Linked DNA regions of Rattus norvegicus. The main gene of each other region encodes a partner of the protein of the gene in region 2 in a complex. Links are inferred from orthologs where the notes say so. Each region holds a gene or a part of one and is shown on either strand. Other genes may lie near its edges.

Region 1 (4,100 bases), about 110 Mb from region 2:
TGTATATGCGTACACTGTCACTGTGTTCAGACACACCAGAAGAGGGCATCAGATCCCATTACAGATGGTTGTGAGCCACCATGTGGTTGCTGGGAATTGAACTCAGGACCTCTGGAAGAGCAGTCAGTGCTCTTAACCTCTGAGCCATCTCTTCAGCCCCTAGAGTGGGTTTCTAAGTATTACCAGAGGACACCAGAGGTCACTCATCTTTTGAAAAGACTGCCTTAGAAAAATAGATACGGAAGCCTGGTGGGGTAGAAAGAAACATGAGCCTTTAATCCCAGCACTTGGGTGACAAAGACAGGTAGATTTCTGTGAGTTAAGAGACCAACCTGGGGGCTGGAGAGATGGCTCAGCAGTTAAGAGCACTGACTGCTCTTCCAGAGGTCCTGAGTTCAATTCCCAGCAACCACATGGTGGCTCACAACCATCTGTAATGGGATCTGATGCCCTCTTCTGGTGTGTCTGAAGACAGCAACAGTGTACTCATATAAATAAAATAAAATCTTTAAAAAAAAAAAAAGAGAGAGAGAGAGACCAACCTGGTCTATAGAGTGAGTTCTGGGACAGACAGGACCATATTATGAGACCTTTTTCCCCATTAATTAATTTATTCACTTTACATTCTGATCATAGTGTCTCTCCCCCCCCCCCCATATTGAAACCCTTTAATCTCAAAATTCAGGAATCGAGGCAGGAAGATCTCTGAGTTTGTGGCCAACCTAGTCTACAGAGTAAGTTCCAGGACCAGGATAACACAGAGAAACTGTTTCAAAACAACCAACCAACCAAAAAATAAAATAAAATAAAATAAAAAGCTGTTGCTGGCTCTCCAGACTACTTACATTTTGGGAACTGCCAGCTAGAGTAGGGCATATTAAGAGACTAAAGTCAGGATTTCAGGCTTAATATACTTTATTGTAAGCATTAGTGAACTTTTTGATTAAGAACTCAGCCAGTTGTGTTCTCAGCAAGATGCCCTAGGTGGGCCCTGACTACATCTGGCTTTATGCCAGACTGTGCTGGATTTGCCACACCATAGGTCAGAGAGGGTGTGGCAGACATCTAGTGCTCATGATTAGAGCTTGGAGGTGCTCTGCTCGGCTTCTCAGGTCCCCAGGAGCTTCAGTAGCCTGTTGTGTAGACAGATAAGAAGCTGGACCAGGAAGACCTCCAAAGTCAGCCTGCTAACTTGTTATCCAAAAATGGAATGGTGATCAGAGAAAGCCATGATGTCTGCCCTGAAGTTCTTGGTGGCTAGGAGATGCCAAGGGGACAACCTAGGTGGTACCTCAGAGTGGGTAGAGATGCCAGAGGCTGTGGAAGACAGGGTGGGAGAAGGAATGCATAACCAAGTTGGCTCTGTTCCCTGATGGACTATCTCTAGTTCGTAACTATTGCCTATCGTTCTGTGGCTCTGGTGAACACCCCAGTATGCATGGATAGCCCCATGGGCCCTAGATATACTCTTCCCCCACCATTAGCTCATAGAGGTAAGGTCATTGTAGAGAACTGTCTCAAGCCAGGCACCTAGAAGACCCTTTTTGCTTGTCAGGAAGGACTCTCTAAGTCTGTACCCATTTCTCCAAGTCAAGGCAGCCCCTACATAGACCAAGAGGGTGGCAACCCTTGGAGAAGTGCCTGGTTTCCCTGAAGGCTGTCCCAGCTTGTCCTGACCTGCATTGGAAGCGAGAGTCTTCAGGATGTGTCTTCAACACTTGGTACACCTCTACGGGGGGCTTCAAGCCCATCTGCTCTGCCCGATGCCAGCGCTGCAGCCTTGTGATACCTACCACCGGGGAAAGAAGTCAGGATGGGCAGGGGAGTCTGGGCTAGAGAATACAGAGGGCAGTTTCTTGAGCCTACATACGTCAGTCTCAGGAAACAGGTGTCCAAGAGTTAGGCAGGCACTTGGACTACTTCTGAGGCACATTGATGACAGAACTGTGCCTAATGGGAGGGGCCGGAAATGGGGTTCTCACCTGTGCAAGGCCCATACTGCCAGGCCAGGTCAAACTGCCTCAGCAACTCCAGCTCTGTTTCCTCCTGGCTGAGGGACTGGGTGTCTTCCCCTGCAATAACATGTGGCTCCTCAGGCTCATCCAGGCCTTTGCCCTGGACTCAGAGCTGTGCCTCTATTTCTTGGCTATCTCCCCACTCGTTTGCCTTTGCCATCGGGCAGACAGACAGCTCATCGGAAGTGCGAGACATGCTAGCTTCTCCTTTTAGCCAACACACACACACACACACACACACACACACACACACACACACACACACACACACACAGAGTCCTTTCTGGTCACTTCATGTCCATTTCTCCCTGCCACCCCCACATTTCAGAGACCTAGCTCGGGTGCCAGCTCCCCCTTGTTGTGCCCAGGGGGCCCCTCCCTCTTCTTCACAACAGGGTAGGAGTCTGTGATGAACCGCTTCCGACCCATGGCGGCCACCCAGGCAGGCGGAGCAGGAGGCAAAGAAAAGGCAGGGCAGCGGGCCTGTGAGAGACAGCTGCTGAGAGTGAGAGAGGGGGCCAGAGAAAGATAGGCCAGCAATGGACAGACAAGTTGACCCAGACAAGCATAGAGAGGAAGTCCTTAAGTTCCAGGGAATGACGCCTGTCTTCCGCCCCCACAAGCATGCAAACATCAGAGACCTAAGCAAATGGCAAACGGCCTTTGCGGGGCGGGGCCTTAATTCTAGCCAATGGCAATCGGCAGAAGCAGGGGGCGGGGTAGCTGCTGCTGCGTTCCGATTGAGGAGGGGTTAGGCGGAACCAAGAACCTGTCAAGATGCCCCAGACTTCACCACCTCCTCGGGTTTCTCATTGGTCTACTTGGGTCCCCAGGGACGTATAGAGAGTTATCCTCGGCCTCTCACTTCCCGTTTTTCCTTCCTAGGCAAATGTTCTTTTCAGCCTCACTAATCCCCGTGGCCAGTTTGTAAGTCCCCTGAGAACCTTTTACTCCTGCCGGTTGGCCCTAGAGCGCTGTGGGATCAGATCTGTAGGTCCAAAGAGAGTTTGGACTTGACCAGGTCCTTCCCTGCTCCTACTGGCCCCAGGAGACCTTGCTGAAGAAACCCATGCGCTCAGAAGGCTCCTTTCTCACAGTCTGCTGGCAGAGACACTGTTCACTCAACCCAGGCATACGGTTGCTGTGCCTGCTGTCAAGTCCCACAGCCTGCCTCTGTCCCCTTTGCTAGTCAGGAAGATTCCATTCCAAGGAAGACACCAGAAATATAGTCCCCACTCTCCATGGGTTCATATTCCCAGTTCTTAATGGACAGATCTGCTCTGTTTTTTCTTGTTTTTGTTTTTGTTTTCTGAATGTGTATCACGAACAGAAAATAATTTCAATAAACCTAACCTTCATATTGGATTTACCATGTGCCAAGTTCTAAGCATCTCCCACATGCTAATTCAAAATAGATATCAAAAGAGGTTTTTGCAAGTGGGAAGTGTAGGCAAATTGTGATCAGTACTCTTAGTCACAGATACTGTGTAACTAACTAGCCTTCCTTGTGCTCTAGAAGCTCCCAAGCTTACAAGGTATAGGGTCAAACACAGTTGTCAGGCCTGGACAGAAGAGCAGGAGTAAGAACTCCTCAGAGCTAGAGGAGGATGGTAGGCACTGGGAGAAGACCTCCAGAAGGTAATTGCTGTAAACAGTGTCTCTCAATTTTCTACCCATGACCTTTGTTTTGGGGCTCCTGTCATCGCTGACTCACCCGTACTACCACCTCCCCCTCACCAACTTCCTGGCAGCGGGTGAAAGTGTTGGCCTGTGGGAGTCTGGGAACCAGCACTGGGACTGACCCAGCACTAATCACCCTCTGGAGCGCCCATCCGGTTCTTCCTTCCAGGGGTGCAAGGTCTATGGATTAGAGGCCTTTGCCCTCCTTTTCAGAAGTTCTGAGATCTAGCTTAGGAAGCACTCAGCTGGCCTCCCGTGTGTGTGGAGGCAGAGAGGAGGGTCACTCCAGAGAGGAGCCTAGCAGTGGTGGGCAGAAGGGTGTGTCTCCAGGGTCTCCTCTTGCCTAGCCTTCCCCCATTAGCTTTTGGAAGAAGAGGGAGATGCGGGCACAACTACAAAGACCTG
Region 2 (3,858 bases):
CCCACTGACACAATGCCACAGGCCCAGAGCTGGCCCCTACATTATGAAACCCAGACAGGTGACACTATAAAGCCTTGCAGCCTTGGGAGGCGACAGGATCAACTGCGTCCTGAGCTGAGAAGGCCCTGGATGAGCAGCCAGGGGTGTCCGAGCATTGGTGAGGACTGGAGGCAATGTCCAGCACCCAGAGCCACACACATGCAGATCCAACAGAGGCCTCAGCTAGACCCCAGAACACTGCAAGGCTTCCAGCCTAGGGACCCCCACACTACTGCACTGTTGGCCTCTGCAGGGATGCAAGTAGTAAGAGATCATCGCTAATCTATAAGACCCCTAATATCTCCACTGAGCCAAGTACAGGGGACACACGCACCTTCTCGAACTCCAGCCGGATGGGTGATGGGAAGTGACTGGATACCCAGTTTGCAGCCTCCCGCCCCAGAGACATTGCCTCAGCCACAGAGGAGACACCAAATCGGCACATCACAGAGTCAGTGTCACCGTAGACCACCTGCCAGGGTACATGTGTGAAGGATGTCTCTTCTCAACCCAGGAGCTGCCATGGAAGGAAGCCCAGGGACCCCAGAGAGCGGGCAGGTGTGACCAGGCCCTGACCTTGGCATTAGCATCGTAGCCATTTTCCAGAGTGTACTTGGTCTCCACTAGCTGCTTGGTTTTCTCAATCATCTGCCGCCCGAACCCAGTGACACTCTATTAGGAGCAAAACCAGGGAGAGTGAGAAGACAGATGCTGTACACAGTGGATCCAGCTTGGGGAGGACTCACCCCTGCCACTTTCAAGCATCACGGACCATACACCGCAGGCAGGTGTATCAAACAGGTGACTGCTGCTCCAAAGTGTGTACATTCTTGGGGGACAAGGAGCCACTCCCTCTCTGGGAGTGCAGCCTGGGTCTCAGTAGAATGGTAGAGTGAGCAGAGGCTCTACCACTGGGCACACCCAGCCCCTCACTGGGAGATTTTAAGCAGGGGCTAAACCATTGAACTATATCCCCAGTCTTCTTTTATTTCAAGATAGGGTGTAAGCTACCCAGCTCTGAACTCCCTGAAGCCTAGACAGGTCTCTCCCCCGGCCTCGCAGCCTCACAAACAAATGCAAGTACAGGCTGACATCACCACACCCTGATGTCTGTTATTTTACAGATGGGGATGGGGCTGGCTGGGTAGCGGGGCGTGACGAGCAGAATGCTCTCTGTCTGCCCGGGTTTCATGAGGTCATGGGACATCCGAGGAGCCCACACCTGACTTGTCTCTGTGCACCTGCTCTGTGCTCCCTTTTCTCAATTTTATTCTGGAATGACTCAGTAGCTTGCTGTTCCCCCATGAGAGGTGTGAGAGACAGACAGGGTTATTTACCAGTGGCTCCTTTGGCCTAAGGTCCCAACACCCACCCCATCTCTGTGGGATGCTAGGAGTGAGGATGGCAGGCAGGCAGGAGGGCAGGAGGGCAGGAGGGCAAGCGGGCGGGCGGGCCTGGCCAGGGGCCCAGCTCCTGGGAGACACCCTCTGAGTGCCTGGGCATCCTTCCAGGCACTCATCTTCCCCGAGCCCTTGAGTCACACCACAGATCTCTGCTCACAAGAGGAGGTAACAGGGACTCTGGGATTATGGGAGCTGGAGTGAGCAGCAGCTTGTGTTAGGCACTCAGCCTCTACCCTGTAACCCATCCTGTGAAAACCCTGCCCCCTCGTTCTGGACACTCCCTGGCTAAGTGCTCCTGACACATCGCTCCTCACTGCTGAGACAGCCAAGTACCAGGACTATGACCAGATTGGGTAGCAGCACCTCAGGCCCCCTCACAACAGGATCGTCCACAGACCATGCATGGCTGCACTTCAGGCCTCATACTCTCTCACTGTTACTCTGTTTCTGACTGAACCCAGTGCTGCCATGTTGGCCAGGGAGGTGGGGCAGTTCTTTTCTACTCCTGTCCCAGCTGGTGCTAGCCACGGTCCTCACTAGAGTCCTCACACTTGGGACAGAGGCCATCAAGTGACCCACTGAATCCAGCCTGGCCGTGCCCCCCCCCCACCTCCACAGGGATGTGGAAGAGGTGACCGGAGGGGCAGCTGCTAGGGCAGGGAAGCCCAGTGACCCAGCGTCCTGAGCACTTTCCTCACCTGAGTCACTGGCAGAGCCCTGTAAGCTACTGAGCCAGAAACATTACCTGACCACAGAGTCCCTGTCCTACTAGCCTGTGAGCGAGAAGTACCAAGGACAGGTGCTCTGGTCTCTGATGACTATGCATAGGGCACAGAGCATGGTCTCACATTGGTGACATACTGCCATACCCCCTGACCCATCTGACCCCTCAATGCAGGGCAGTAACCCCAGTCGCCCATCAGGGTCCCAAGGGCTCACCTGGGAGATCTCCAAACACGGCAGCTTGCCCACCTGGGCACCAGTGAAGCCATACACAGAGTTGGCACTCACTTTTAGTGCCAGCTGCCGTCCATCCAAGACCTGTCGCCGCAGGGGGTCCGTCTCCTGAGCCAGCTCAGCCTTGGCCCTAGGTGGAGGCGGGATGAAGGCTATTCAAGGGGACCATGGTTCTCTGGGAGGCACCCAGGCATGGACACCGATCAGGGAGGGGTGCCAAATATAGCAGAGGCGCTGTGCGCTGCTCAGAACGCAGGCCGGCTAGACACAAGGGTGACGCCTGGAAAGGCGCCTCATTTAACACAGCCACAGCCACAGAATACCAGGGCTAAGTCAGCACAGGGATCTGAGCATAGAGCAGAGCCCACAGCCCACCTCTTCCGGGCACTCAGCAGATTCTCCAGGATTTGGGGCAGGAGGCCCTTCCGCACAGATGCCTTCACAAACTCATCCCCAGTGGGTGTCTTGATGAACTCATCTGGTTTAAGGCTGGGGAAGGAGGAAACACAGGAGGCTGGGCTTCTGAACTACCTAGATCCCCCATGGCCTGTCTTTCCCCAGCTTCCCCCAGGCCTACCTCTCTCTGCAAACCTCCCCCAGGACCTGCTTCAGCCTCCCCTAGGCCGGCCTCTCCATTAGCTGCATCCACAGCCTGTGGAATCCCTGACTCCCCTGTCTCCCTTTCCGTGGACCTGATTCCTGAGCCTGATTTATCAAGCCGTGAAACCAGGGCTCAGGGTGGTTTGGGGGGGCATCCTGGATAAAGGCAGCATACCCCAACTTCTGGGCAGCCCCAGGCCGTAGCAATGTGGTGTAGCACAGATTGTGGGCCATCATGATGGATGGGTACAGAGAGGAGAAGTCCAGGGTGGCAATGGGGACATCATAGTACCTGAGGGAGAATTTGGGGAAGTCAGCCCCACCCAGCCCCTACCCTTGGGCCCTGACATTTTAACATTCTTATGTACAGGATCTCAAGTAGTCCGGGCTGGCCTTGAACTCCTCCCAAGTGCTGGGATGACAAATGCCCCACTGTGCCCAGCAGGGTCCTTACCCTTTGAGGGGCTCAATGACAGTGGCTCCCGTGTAGTCCTCACCTCCCTCCGTCTTCACCACAGGCATCAGCAGCCCCTGGCGCATGGCCTAGAGAAAGGGTGGCGTGAGTATCCGGGAACCAGGTAGGGTGTGTACACCTGTGTGGCCGATCGGGCCAGCCACTCACCTGGCGCAGCAGCTGAGACACGACCTTGACCTGCTGGCCTCGGCTGAGCAGGTACCCAAGGGGTACACCAGTGACACGCGCCATCTCCACATTGTTCACCAGCACCATAAGGCGCTCGAGTAGGCGAAGAGGCAGAAAGGCATCCTTCAGGCAGTACACGGCCAGGCGGCGACGCGTCTGTTCATTCCCATTCTGGGGATGATGGGCATGTGGGGTCAAGGGCTCAGCGGGGGCTCA

The links. The genes of interacting proteins can lie anywhere in the genome.
Region 1: Pold1 (region 2) and Pold4 share a complex: the UniProt entries of both Homo sapiens proteins name them as parts of the tetrameric DNA polymerase delta complex. The link is inferred for Rattus norvegicus from reciprocal best matches to the Homo sapiens genes POLD1 and POLD4.

Annotation. Positions count from the first base shown.
Region 1 is NC_086019.1:210,954,661-210,958,760, reverse strand, and holds Pold4 (DNA polymerase delta subunit 4), read right to left. Parts: upstream 2,568-4,100; 5' UTR 2,445-2,567; coding exon 2,348-2,444; intron 2,073-2,347; coding exon 1,983-2,072; intron 1,790-1,982; coding exon 1,678-1,789; intron 1,318-1,677; coding exon 1,293-1,317; 3' UTR 1,134-1,292; coding exon of another isoform or gene 1,109-1,133; 3' UTR 898-1,108; downstream 1-897. UniProt on the Homo sapiens protein: As a component of the tetrameric DNA polymerase delta complex (Pol-delta4), plays a role in high fidelity genome replication and repair.
Region 2 is NC_086019.1:104,164,595-104,168,452, forward strand, and holds part of Pold1 (DNA polymerase delta catalytic subunit), read right to left. Parts: intron 3,814-3,858; coding exon 3,622-3,813; intron 3,543-3,621; coding exon 3,454-3,542; intron 3,292-3,453; coding exon 3,175-3,291; intron 2,889-3,174; coding exon 2,775-2,888; intron 2,530-2,774; coding exon 2,382-2,529; intron 712-2,381; coding exon 616-711; intron 512-615; coding exon 374-511; intron 1-373. UniProt on the Homo sapiens protein: As the catalytic component of the trimeric (Pol-delta3 complex) and tetrameric DNA polymerase delta complexes (Pol-delta4 complex), plays a crucial role in high fidelity genome replication, including in lagging strand synthesis, and repair.